2 linked regions of the Arabidopsis thaliana genome follow. The protein of the gene in region 2 interacts with the protein of the main gene of each other region in a pairwise test. Each region holds a gene or a part of one and is shown on either strand. Other genes may lie near its edges.

Region 1 (5,276 bases), on a different chromosome or scaffold from region 2:
ATTCACATGGATGGTACCATGTGAAATACAGAAGACCATCGAACGTGTAGATATTTTTTTTAAACTTGTCACTGATGTGTTTATAGCTAGATGAATTCATCTCTTCGAATAAGGTAGAGTTATAAAGATTGAATACTGAATAAAGAAAAAGATGGGTGAGATCAAACGCACCATTAAACTTTTTATTTACTCAATTCAACATCATAGATAGGTCTATAAATCAAAACATTCAAAAATTCATAATGAGTAAGAATATTCTAGAATATGGCGCTGTCTATATATTTTGAATTTTCCTATTAAAGTTGTTTTGAAAATTTCAATAGATATCTTCTTAAAGTCAAATTGGTGTTATGAGATCATAAATATATATGAGAAAGAAAAAAGAAAGAATTAACTGATTCTATATTTAGATTGTATCAAATAATATAAGTTTTATTGTTAGTTTGGTTGAACAATCTCACAAAATTTCTTGATCTCAAGGATTCATCTTTAAGAGAAGGATAACTAATTTCATTTATCCCATTAGTACTAGGCTACTAGCTAACCTAAAATATTCTTTCTATGATTTCGATGTACATACAGGTTATGTTGATAGAATATGTGTGACATATGTGAAGTCCGGATTTTGGATTCTTTTAAGCGTTATGTGATTTATTTAAGCAATAAACTATGGTTTACAAACTTGACATGTACACAAAAATAAAAGAAACTTGACATGTCTCTTTTTTTCTTTTTTCTTTTAGTTAGTGTGCTTTTAAGAAGATGTCTATATGTGATATCTTATTTATTTTTATTATAATCACTAACGTGAAATTCAAATTAGCAATTAATAATTCGTACCAAAAATACCGAGAACAAGATACTTGCCTCGGGATCGGATCTAAAAATAGTCAACTAGAAGACTTTTAATTTTTATTATTTTCATACTAACTGTCCTTTTATTAACTTAATTTCTTTCTTGCCAAAAACTTTATCAACAAAATTATCAGCTCTGTACTAATATTATTACCGAGACAACCGTTTGAAATTGTCTATCTATTAAGAGTATTTACATTAGTAGATCTAATCCTATATAAAATCGTTATCTTAAATCGAATTAGCATACAATATAAGGTTACTTGCAAATCATGTAAGATTATCCACATATACTTTTCGTACAGTACTTTTTTTTTATAAGTATCCATTTTATTCAGAGTTGATTACGGATACAAAAAAAAGAGGTTAATCCGTAGAAATCAAATTGGATAATGAATGTTTCACAATTGTATAAAATCTATAGTCAAAACACACAATGTTGCAGTATCATCGAATGACTATCAATATGAGGAGTTACTATATTATTAGAGTACCAAAAAGTTTATAGACTTAAGATTAACATTTCAACAACAAATCAAGCTTATGGACTTTGGATTAACATTTCAACACAACAATATGATGATCCGTCTTTACACGGGAAAGCATGTGTCAAAAGAATATGCATGTGTTTTGTTTTACTTATCTTACCAAAAAAGAACTTTTTGCTGATTTTAGATATAGAAAAATATAGCATATAGTAATATAGTGGAAAACTAAAACATTTGACAGAGGAGACGTGGGACAAGAGAGCAAGCGGCGCCGCAGCCATATCTCTCGTTCAAATTTTATAATTACAATTAAGAAAAGGTCAAATGCATTTCCCATTGTCTCTTTGTATCTCTTTGTGTCACTAAGTCAACCTTTAATTGAAATCCTCCATATATTGATCTGTCCAATATCAAATTTTAACTATGGATAAGTATATGTCTAATTCGTGGCCAGGCCCATTAGGGACTTTTAGAGGGCCTTTAAAACAATAAGCACGCGCGTCAGTCTTACGTATTGTAAGGACGCGTGGACGTTTTACTTGACGTGAAGGAAAGAGAAACTCCGATACCAGAGCTTGGTGGAGCAGTGGAGACGCTTCCACGCGAATCTCGCAGTCCCACTCGTCTTCCTCCTTCCCTCTCTTCCTTTGAATACCTTACCTCTCTCGGTCTCGCTCCCTCCCTCGATTCAAGCCTATTCGTCTTCTTACGCTGTGTCTTGAAACCCTAATCTTTTTCATTTCAATCCCTAAAGGTGAAGTCTTTATTGCGTGTTCGTCTTCTCTGTCTTCGTTTCTACTCTTATTCGTCTAATTTGCGATCTGGGTTAGTGTTTTTTTCTTACGGATTTTAGTGGGTCCGTGTTAGATTATCGAGATATTGATGTAATTCGAACTTGTGCGCCGCTGGAAAAACTGAATTTTGTGTAGCTATGACTTTTCCGATTTCTGGTTAGGTTCATGAGTCATTGAAAATTTGTTGAATTGTATAATTGAACTTGTCAGAATCCATCTGTGTATTCTTATGTTTTTGAATTCTAGGGTTATCGAGAGCATTTCGTTCTTTCTTATACATTTATGCTAACATTTTTATATAAATTTCTATGGATCTGAGATGTGTCAAAGGTCTTTGTTCCATGTGGATTAGATTAGATTCTAAGGTTTCTCCTTTGTTTGTTTAATAATTGATTCACTGTCATGTCGCGTGAGTTGTTCTGTGAAGCATGTTCCTTTTGGTTGTCTTGTAACATGTCTGCACATCTTTTGTTATTTTTTTATTTTCTTTTATGTAATCTTATTAACTGTATTTGATTTGATGCGAGACTTTGTCTCACCAGTTTTTATTCTTGGTATCTCTATACATTGATTCTCCATCTGTTTGCTTTCCATAACTTGTCGATTTGGTTTTGTCATTGTGTTAGTTATCTTGTGAGTTTGAATCACTTTTCTAGGCTTCCAAGCTAGTGAGGTACATTACTTCGTTTGTTTGATCTCTTTTCGTTTCGGTATGAGTTCCTTGATTTGATTTAAGTTTCATAGATTAGCATTGTTTGTTGATCATGCAATTCCAGGGATGTATGAATTCAACATGTTTATTCGAACCTCCCTCTTTGTTTGCTATGAGGTTGTGAAATATCTTTTATAGATGCATATGTAAAGCATTATCATGAAATAGTTCCCAAATCAGAGTGTGGGATGCTACTACTAATCATGTTGTATGCTGAATGGTGAACTGGAAAAATATATGTAGTTTCCATGAAGAGATATCTACTTGTATTGTTACAAACTTTTATGTGGAGTTCTTTTGCTAATTTGATGAGGATTTGTACAGGTGTGATTTTGAGATTATGGCCAAAGCTAGGAAGGCAGGACGTAGGGTTCCTTCACGACGCTTCAGGGCAAGAGCAAAACCATACAAATTTCCATCTTCTAAAAGACTTGTGGCGAGAAACATGTTTGCGGAAGATTGTTCAAAGTGTCTAGAGAAGAGGGATTGGGAGAATGTTATATGTTCGGTTTGCATGGAGTGTCCACACAACGCTGTCCTTCTTCTCTGCTCATCTCATGACAAGGGATGTCGTCCTTACATGTGTGGAACCAGTTTCCGGTATTCTAATTGCTTAGATCAGTACAAGAAAGCGTCAGCTAAGCTGAAGACATCGGGCCATCAACAGATCAATAAGTCTGAGCTTGGAAATCTCACATGCCCACTTTGTAGAGGACAGGTGAAAGGTTGGACAATCGTACAGCCTGCTCGTGACTTTTTGAATCTTAAGAAGAGGATCTGTATGCAGGAGAACTGTGTTTATGCTGGAACCTTCAAAGAGCTGAGGAAACACATGAAAGTGGACCACCCTAGTGCGAAGCCGCGTGAAGTGGATCCTGATGTGGAGCAGAATTGGAGAAGGCTTGAGATCGAGCATGACCGGGACGATGTTATGAGCACGATTAGGTCGACAATGCCTGGTACAGTGGTGTATGGTGATTACGTAATTGAAAGGAACAATGCCAACGGTTCAGATTCAGACGAGGGTGGTGATGATGATGGGATCGATGCTGCATTTGGTAGGAATCTTGTGAATGTTTTCCTTCTGTTACATGCTTTTGGGGCATCAGGTAATCAGATCAGACGCTCTGATTCAGATTCGAATGACTCGACAACAATCAACCGAGGAACAAGTGAGCTGAATTTCTCTGAAGAAGAAGAGGAAGAGGAGGAGGAGGAGAGGCATAGTAACAGTAACTCTTTGGCAAGTCGAATGAGGCGACAAGGACGCGTTCTGCTGGGACGTTCAGGTAGGAGACGTAGAGATAGAGAAGCTAACCAGAACACAGGTCCTCCTCCTAGATGAGAGAGAATCACACGAATTCAAAAGAAAACCCTGTCTGATTTTGGGTTTCAGGTAAGCTTTATGGTATGGTTAGGTACAAATGTAGTTTCGACAAGTTTAAAACAAAACAAAAAAAGGCTTTTGGCCTTTCTGCTATCACCATTGGAGAATTTGGGAATTTGACTCGAAATTCTTTCATATGCTAGAGAAGCAGGCTTGCAATCTCATGTTTTATTTACTGTATTCTGATGTAACTTTCTGGGTGGAAAATTCACAAATATCTATCCTTGTGAATAAGCATGATCAGTGATGATGACCAATGAAGTCTTTTAGCGAATTATGAAATTGTGTTTCCTTGTGTTTATAGATTCCATGTGCGCTTAGAGACTTACCTATGAATCGTTGTAGAGTCTTCTAAGAGACTTAGACCACACACACTCACAAGTGTTATGTGTATGTTTCTCTTAATAACATGATTTTATTTTGGTGTAAGTGTATGATTTAAGCTTAAACATTCGTTTTTTTTCTAAAGTTAGTTTACTGCTTAGAGTTTTGGAAAATACACCAACATAGATGAAATATGTTTGGTTTTGTTTTTCGGTTTCGAGAGTTGCCTCGTATCGATGTGGTAGCTTCTACGACCAACAACACTCAACATTAAACATGTGTTTGGTTTTTGACTTTTGTTAATAACATGATCTTATTTAAGTGTTAGTGTACTATTTAAGTTAAGCATTCGGAGGTTTTTATTCAGTTCGCTTAGAGTTTTGGAAAATATACCTCACCGATAATCGATTTTATGTAATTAGTTTTGATTTTGATGGAAATGTCGATAAACAAAATGGTGGGGGCCTTTTACTCTTACGATACCTTCCTTCTATCCTTTCACTCTTTTTTACTCGTCGCTATCGAGTTTTGTCGTGTCCCCATTTTTTGGGCAAAATTACAGAATCAATAAATGGAGGAATATATAGACTGTAATTGTGAACAAATTGACAAAAAATATTAAAGAGATTTGGGTTTGGAATTGGACAAAAAGTGGCATCCACCAAAAAAAGAGATAAAGATAATTAATCAAACGGTCTATGGAAACAAAGGGTTAT
Region 2 (5,909 bases):
TCTCTGCATGTGATCCGATTCTTCCTTCGGATATACCCGATTCGAGATTTGATTTCGGAATGGCCGTTGGAGTCGGCGGCGAGATTTTACCGGAGACGCTTGAGAAAATGGTGGAGATCTGTGACGTTGTTGCTGTGGATATTCAAGCTTTGATTAGGGTTTTTGATCCTGTTGACGGAGCTGTGAAGCTTGTTGATTTGAAAGAAAGTGGATTTTATCACATCTTGCATCGAATTGGATTCTTGAAAGCTTCGTCAGACGAAGCTCTTTTCATGGATGTTGAACAAATGAAGCACTTGTGTTGTGTGGTGGTGACTAATGGTGAAAAAGGGTGTAGGATTTATCATAAGGATGATGAAATGACGGTTCCTCCGTTCTTGGCGAAGCAGGTGGATCCTACCGGTGCCGGAGACAGCTTTCTCGGAGGTTTGATTGTTGGGCTTGTTGAAGGTTTGACTGTTCCTGATGCTGCATTGTTAGGGAACCTCTTTGGTTCCATCACTGTAGAGCATATTGGTCAGCCAAAGTTCGATTTGATGATGCTTCAGGTTTGTTTTTTGGTCTCGTATTAGCTTACTGAATTGCATGCTGTGAGAGATTTGCAAATCTAATAGACAGTAGTAAGAACTTTTAGAGCCGATGATAGTGATATGCAAATGTCTTTAACATAATCCTAGCAAAAGAACTCTGTTACATCTTGCAGCTTACTTTCAATACAGCCAAACCTATATCTTGCGGGTGAACTAGAATCTGTATTTGATGTTGATAGGTTTCCAATCTGAAAATGTGTCAAATCTTCACAGTTGTTGTTTGAGATTCTGTCGAGTCACAGCTGCTGAGAGAGTCTTTTCTTGTTTTACTTCATTGTTAATCTAGGAGCAGTTTCATTCAACATAGGGTAGATGCAGGAAAAAGTGTTGTTTAAGCATTCACCGAACAATGTGGTTAAGCAATTAGAGAATTCAAAAGTATGGATCTCTTGATGTATTTGCGAGTGTTTCTGTGTATCTCTTGTAGTTGTATCTGTTGAAATGAGGGCGTTATTGGATAATAATTGAACCATTGGCTAGTGCAAGTGAACATTAAGCAAATTAGAAGATTTATAGCGTTTGTGTTTGCACTGCACAAGGATTCATCCCTTTCATCGGTTATTTCTATGTGACATATGTCTTTGTGATTTGCAGAAAGTCAAGGATGAGGTACAGAGAAGGAAGAAGCAGTGTAACATATCTAGCAGCCATAACAACGATCACAACGAGTTCCATGAGCGTCTAAGTCCAGCTCGGTTTTCATGCGTAGACTCTCAACTTCAACCAAAGTTATTGGTCAATGGTCACTCTTGTGATGATCGGTCCCTGTGAATACGAATCTTGAATCACCTTTTTTTTACTAACAAAGCTCTTCTGAGTTGTGTAAGCTTGCTTCAACACGTTGATGAATTTTGGAAATTTTAATGTATAAAACGCGTTGACCAGCGTCTTCAAACGCTCTTTCTGGTCGTTCCCGCAAAGTTTGTTTATCAACTCCGCGTTTCAAAATTCGAAATGAAGATGTCAAATTTTGTTTTAAAAGTTTTGGATAAGATGATTTGCTATTCGCATGTTGCCACATTATCTAGTTAATATAAAAACCAAAAACAAATCTGAGATAAAATTACGAAAGTCAACGTGGGAGATCTAATTTTGACTGGTGCATAGTTGAACCGGTTCAATATATGTACAATCAGGAGGAAACCGTGTTCGGTGTTTGATTCGTGCGCGTGGATTTAAAACGTGGTCACGATCAGGCGCGTGGATTGACGTGGCGATTCCGATTCCCAATCAAAAGTCTGGACGAGCAAAAAATTTCCTCTGATATTGGCATCTCCATTACTAACTCCTGATTTACGGTTAAAACGCCTCTTCCCTCTCTCCGACGCTTCTCGTCGGAAATCTGGGTTTAAGTTTCTTCTGCAGATCGGAAGAGATTCTATTGAAGCGGCGTTGACACGATTTCATCTATAATTGTACGATAATGAAGCAGAAGAACCAGCATAAGAAGAAGAAGAAGCGATCCTGCGCCGCGAAACCTTCCGGTGATGGAACGACGTCGGACGGGAACAAAAAAGATGTGGAGGAAGAGAGGAAGGACGGTGAAGGAAAGAGGGAGATAGAAAACGTTGGAAAAAATTTTATCGAATCGTTAATGGAAGCCTTTTGCTCGGTTTCAATGGAGGAAGCGATGGCTGCTTATAAGGAAGCAGGCGGAGATCTGAACAAAGCCGCTGAGATTTTATCGGATCTGGTGGAAAGCGGTGATGATCCGTCGACGAGTTCGGTGGCGAGTGGTTCTTCGGGTCAGGAAACAGCGTCTACCTCTGAGTATGGGGCAGGGTCAAGTTCTAGCTGTAGCGAAGATTTGACTAGAGATAGATGGTTTAAGGGAAGCAAGCAGAGTAGAGTTATTGCTGCTACAGGGATGGTTTCTTCTGTGATTGCGAAGGATTACTTGAAGCCAAACCCTGTGCGAAAAGAGTTTCCTATGATGGAACGGTCTAAAGAGCTCTGTGGGAACGGGAAAAAAGCTGCGGATAGAGAGAAAGCTGAACAGTTCTTAAGTTCAATGCTTGGAGATGATTGCGAGCTTAGCATGGCTGTTGTTAGAGATGTTTTGTGTGAGTATTTCTTCTTCTTAGTCAGTTAATTTTTCCATGGGAGAAGATGTTAGTAGAAAAGTATGATCCTTAATAGTTATAGGATTACGTTTTAATGTGTCCGCGATATTCGAAATATAGCCGTAATAATGTTATGAGGAGAGACTAGATTGTTCGATGAATTGACATGGAAGTATCTATTTTTTGTAGGTCAATGTGGCTATGATGTCGACATGGTAAGCAGAGATTGTCTTCAAACTTACATGGGGAAGTATTTAGTATATTGACAGGGAAGCTCCTGAAATATGCTGATACTTGCCCGACTATTTATTTTAAAGCTTAATAGCGTTTTCTTCTTAGGCTTTGAATGTCTTGCTTGACATGTCTTCTTCATCAACTGATGATTCATTGAGTGGTAAATGTTTCGGCATAGGAGTCAGCGATAGTGTAAGTGATTGTTTTTTTTGTTAATCTTCATAGATCTGTTTATTTTGTTTTCTTACACGATAAAATAAAGTGCAATCTCCTGACATTATTTAACAGCTGGCAGAGTCATCTTTTGATACTGATACTTCTGATTGTGAACTTTTCTGGGGTGGAGACTATAGTCAAAGGTACTTCTATTTGCTTCTTAGGCTTTCATCTTGTTATTGCAATTCACTGATTTTGGAATTATCAGAGTTGATTTACACGTTAGTTACAAGATAACGAGCTCTCTGCAACCTCTCCTTATCTTTTAATTAGTCCTTATCCTCTTCTATGAAAGAACAACAAACGAACTATTTCATGGTGGAGGATTCAGTTCATGAACACATGATATCTAAATTACTCATGAGACCGCCAAAACTTACATTATGATTTCTTAATTTCAACATTGTGGACGAGGTCAAAACTAAATATCTGGCCTTTTTTTCTTTTCTTTGTCTGAATGGTAGGGACTACGCAAAAGCTCTCATGAGTTCTCAAGATCCTTTTGCAACTACCCAAGGAATTGATGAGCTTGGTCTTCCACAAAAAGTGTTGGAGTCTCTGTTCAACATTCGCCAGAATCCTAAACATGAATCAAAGACAACGAGTTGGAGGAATGTGGCAAAGAAAATGCAGTCACTTGGCATTGATGCTTCTTCATCTAGTGGGGAAGAGCCTCACCCTAATACGTTTGGTACTTTACTATGGTTTCTTGATTTTAGTATTTGCGTATATAGCTGCAAATAGCATGCTCAATTTGCCATGAGTTTGCCGGCTTCGAGCTTCTGATGTATGTTGTTTTACCTGATGAAACACTTGGCAATTTTTGCTTTGGTGTCATTGGCATAAACATCTGAAGTTTTGACTGCTTGTTTGTGTTGCAACTCTTGAATCAATCTTTCTTACTCATGAATTGCATTACCAATCAATCAGTACGTGTGTTGCAGTGAAGGATGACAGTTATCATGAACTTAGAAAAGGTGCAAATGACCAGTGGAATGTTACGAAGTCCTACTATCAAAAAGTTAGTTTTACTTGCTTCCATATATCTGGCTCTGGTAGACTCCTCAACTAATGCATTTATTAATTGGTTTAAGGCTGCCGAAGCATATTCGAAAGGAGGGAGGGCTCATGCGGCTTACCTTTCTGACAAGGTGCATATCACGGTTTACATATATCATGGTATCATGGCATTTTGTTTGACAGTATGACAGAAACTTGTGTTGTTTTTCTTTTAGGGAAGAGTGGCATCTAAACAAGCTCAACGGGCTGATGAGAGGGCAAGCCAAGATATATTCGTTGCAAGGTTAGCTGTTTTGATGCATTATCAAAGTATGCTGATGCGCTTAAACATTTTGTGGTGGACTAAGCCATTGTTTATGACTATGCAGAAACAAAGGTATAGAGAATGTGGTAACCATTGATCTGCATGGTCAGCATGTTAAACCAGCAATGAAGCTACTGAAGCTACATCTCTTATTTGGATCATATGTTCCTTGTGAGTACTTAGCAAACTCAATTATAAGTCTTTTCTTCTTTAGTAGATCATCATAGTCAGATCTTGTCATCATAAAACCCGAGATAATACCTTCCTCCTAACAATTGTGAAATCATCCAGCCATTCAGACTCTACGAGTGATCACAGGATGTGGAGCTTCTGGGTTTGGGAAGTCTAAGGTGAAACAATCAGTAAGTTTCTTCAACGCCCTTTCACAGCAAAACCGGAGACAAGAATTTAGTATTGCAGTCATGGTATATGATTGTTATTTATGGATATGATCAGGTGGTAAAGCTGCTAGAAAGAGAAGGAGTTAGGTATTGTGAAGAGAACAGAGGGACACTGCTGATCAAGCTTGACGGAGGTAGTAGAGAGTTCAGTTTCTTAGACACAGAGAGTGACTCTGATGAATAAGTGATAACTAAAACTAAAGTCAGGTTTTAGCTTTAGATCTTAAAATTTATGTCGATTTTGTCTATATCTGATGCTAGCTCTCTGTTGTTAAGTAAATGTTGGGCAAAACTTAGCTTCCTTCTTTTTCCTTTCCGTATTTCACGTTATTTAAGTTCTGAAAACACTTTGTCTGACACAGACAGAATGTATATTTTTCGCTAACTCTTCTTTAGGAGTTTACTGATATATATATTATCGTGTAACTTCTATAAATTCTACAAATGTTGACAATGCAAAACGGCATAAGTGCAGAATTTTTGCTACTGAAAGACATTTGTGTATAAAGTCAGACATAGCTCGAGCTAGAAAGCAGACGAAAGAAATAAAGCCGGTAGAATCTTTCATAAAGTAACCAAGACACTCGTTTTAACACAAAAGTCATCAAGCACACTAGAGCTCACATCAATGGATGATCAGATGGAGAAAACTAGAGTTGTTGAGTTACAGGGGAAGCTCACCACTGTCTACAATCACCACTTTACTCTTAGGAGTTCCACTCTGATTTCCTTCAGCTTCGACTTTGTACACCACATCCATTCCTGTCACTACCTTCCCGAATACCACATGTCGCCCATCCAACCTGCAAACTTTCTAATCAGCAGACGGAAACAACATATCGACAATTCTATCCATAATTGAAACTCTTAAGCTTAGAAAGTAGTAACCTGCCCACACAATTGTCAAACAACTTGAAAGTAAAAGATAAGAAACTGGCTTTATGTGTTTGAAATTCAGATGATTCTGTACTCACCAGCTGGTTGTTACAGTTGTGATGAAAAACTGTGATCCGTTGGTATCTTGACCGGCATTTGCCATTGATAAGAACCCTGTGGAAAAAGGAAAACAACTAATCATGTA

What was found. Proteins that work in one complex are often made in the same cells at the same time.
Region 1: the proteins of AT5G58720 (region 2) and AT1G68140 interact in a two-hybrid assay, tested with the Arabidopsis thaliana proteins (one large-scale study listed by BioGRID).

Annotation. Positions count from the first base shown.
Region 1 is NC_003070.9:25,538,328-25,543,603, reverse strand, and holds AT1G68140 (zinc finger/BTB domain protein, putative (DUF1644)), read left to right. Parts: upstream 1-1,780; 5' UTR 1,781-2,097; exon of another isoform or gene 2,098-2,810; intron 2,811-3,173; 5' UTR 3,174-3,189; coding exon 3,190-4,194; 3' UTR 4,195-4,680; downstream 4,681-5,276.
Region 2 is NC_003076.8:23,719,079-23,724,987, reverse strand, and holds AT5G58720 (smr (Small MutS Related) domain-containing protein), read left to right. Parts: upstream 1-1,812; 5' UTR 1,813-2,013; coding exon 2,014-2,653; intron 2,654-2,842; coding exon 2,843-2,868; intron 2,869-2,992; coding exon 2,993-3,079; intron 3,080-3,175; coding exon 3,176-3,246; intron 3,247-3,567; coding exon 3,568-3,794; intron 3,795-4,047; coding exon 4,048-4,124; intron 4,125-4,197; coding exon 4,198-4,254; intron 4,255-4,338; coding exon 4,339-4,406; intron 4,407-4,491; coding exon 4,492-4,598; coding exon of another isoform or gene 4,599-4,654; exon of another isoform or gene 4,655-4,718; coding exon 4,719-4,789; coding exon of another isoform or gene 4,790-4,879; exon of another isoform or gene 4,880-4,883; coding exon 4,884-5,012; 3' UTR 5,013-5,293; downstream 5,294-5,909. Other genes in the region: Mik (pfkB-like carbohydrate kinase family protein), read left to right, coding at 1-548, 1,185-1,361; ROC7 (rotamase CYP 7), read right to left, coding at 5,493-5,631, 5,803-5,878.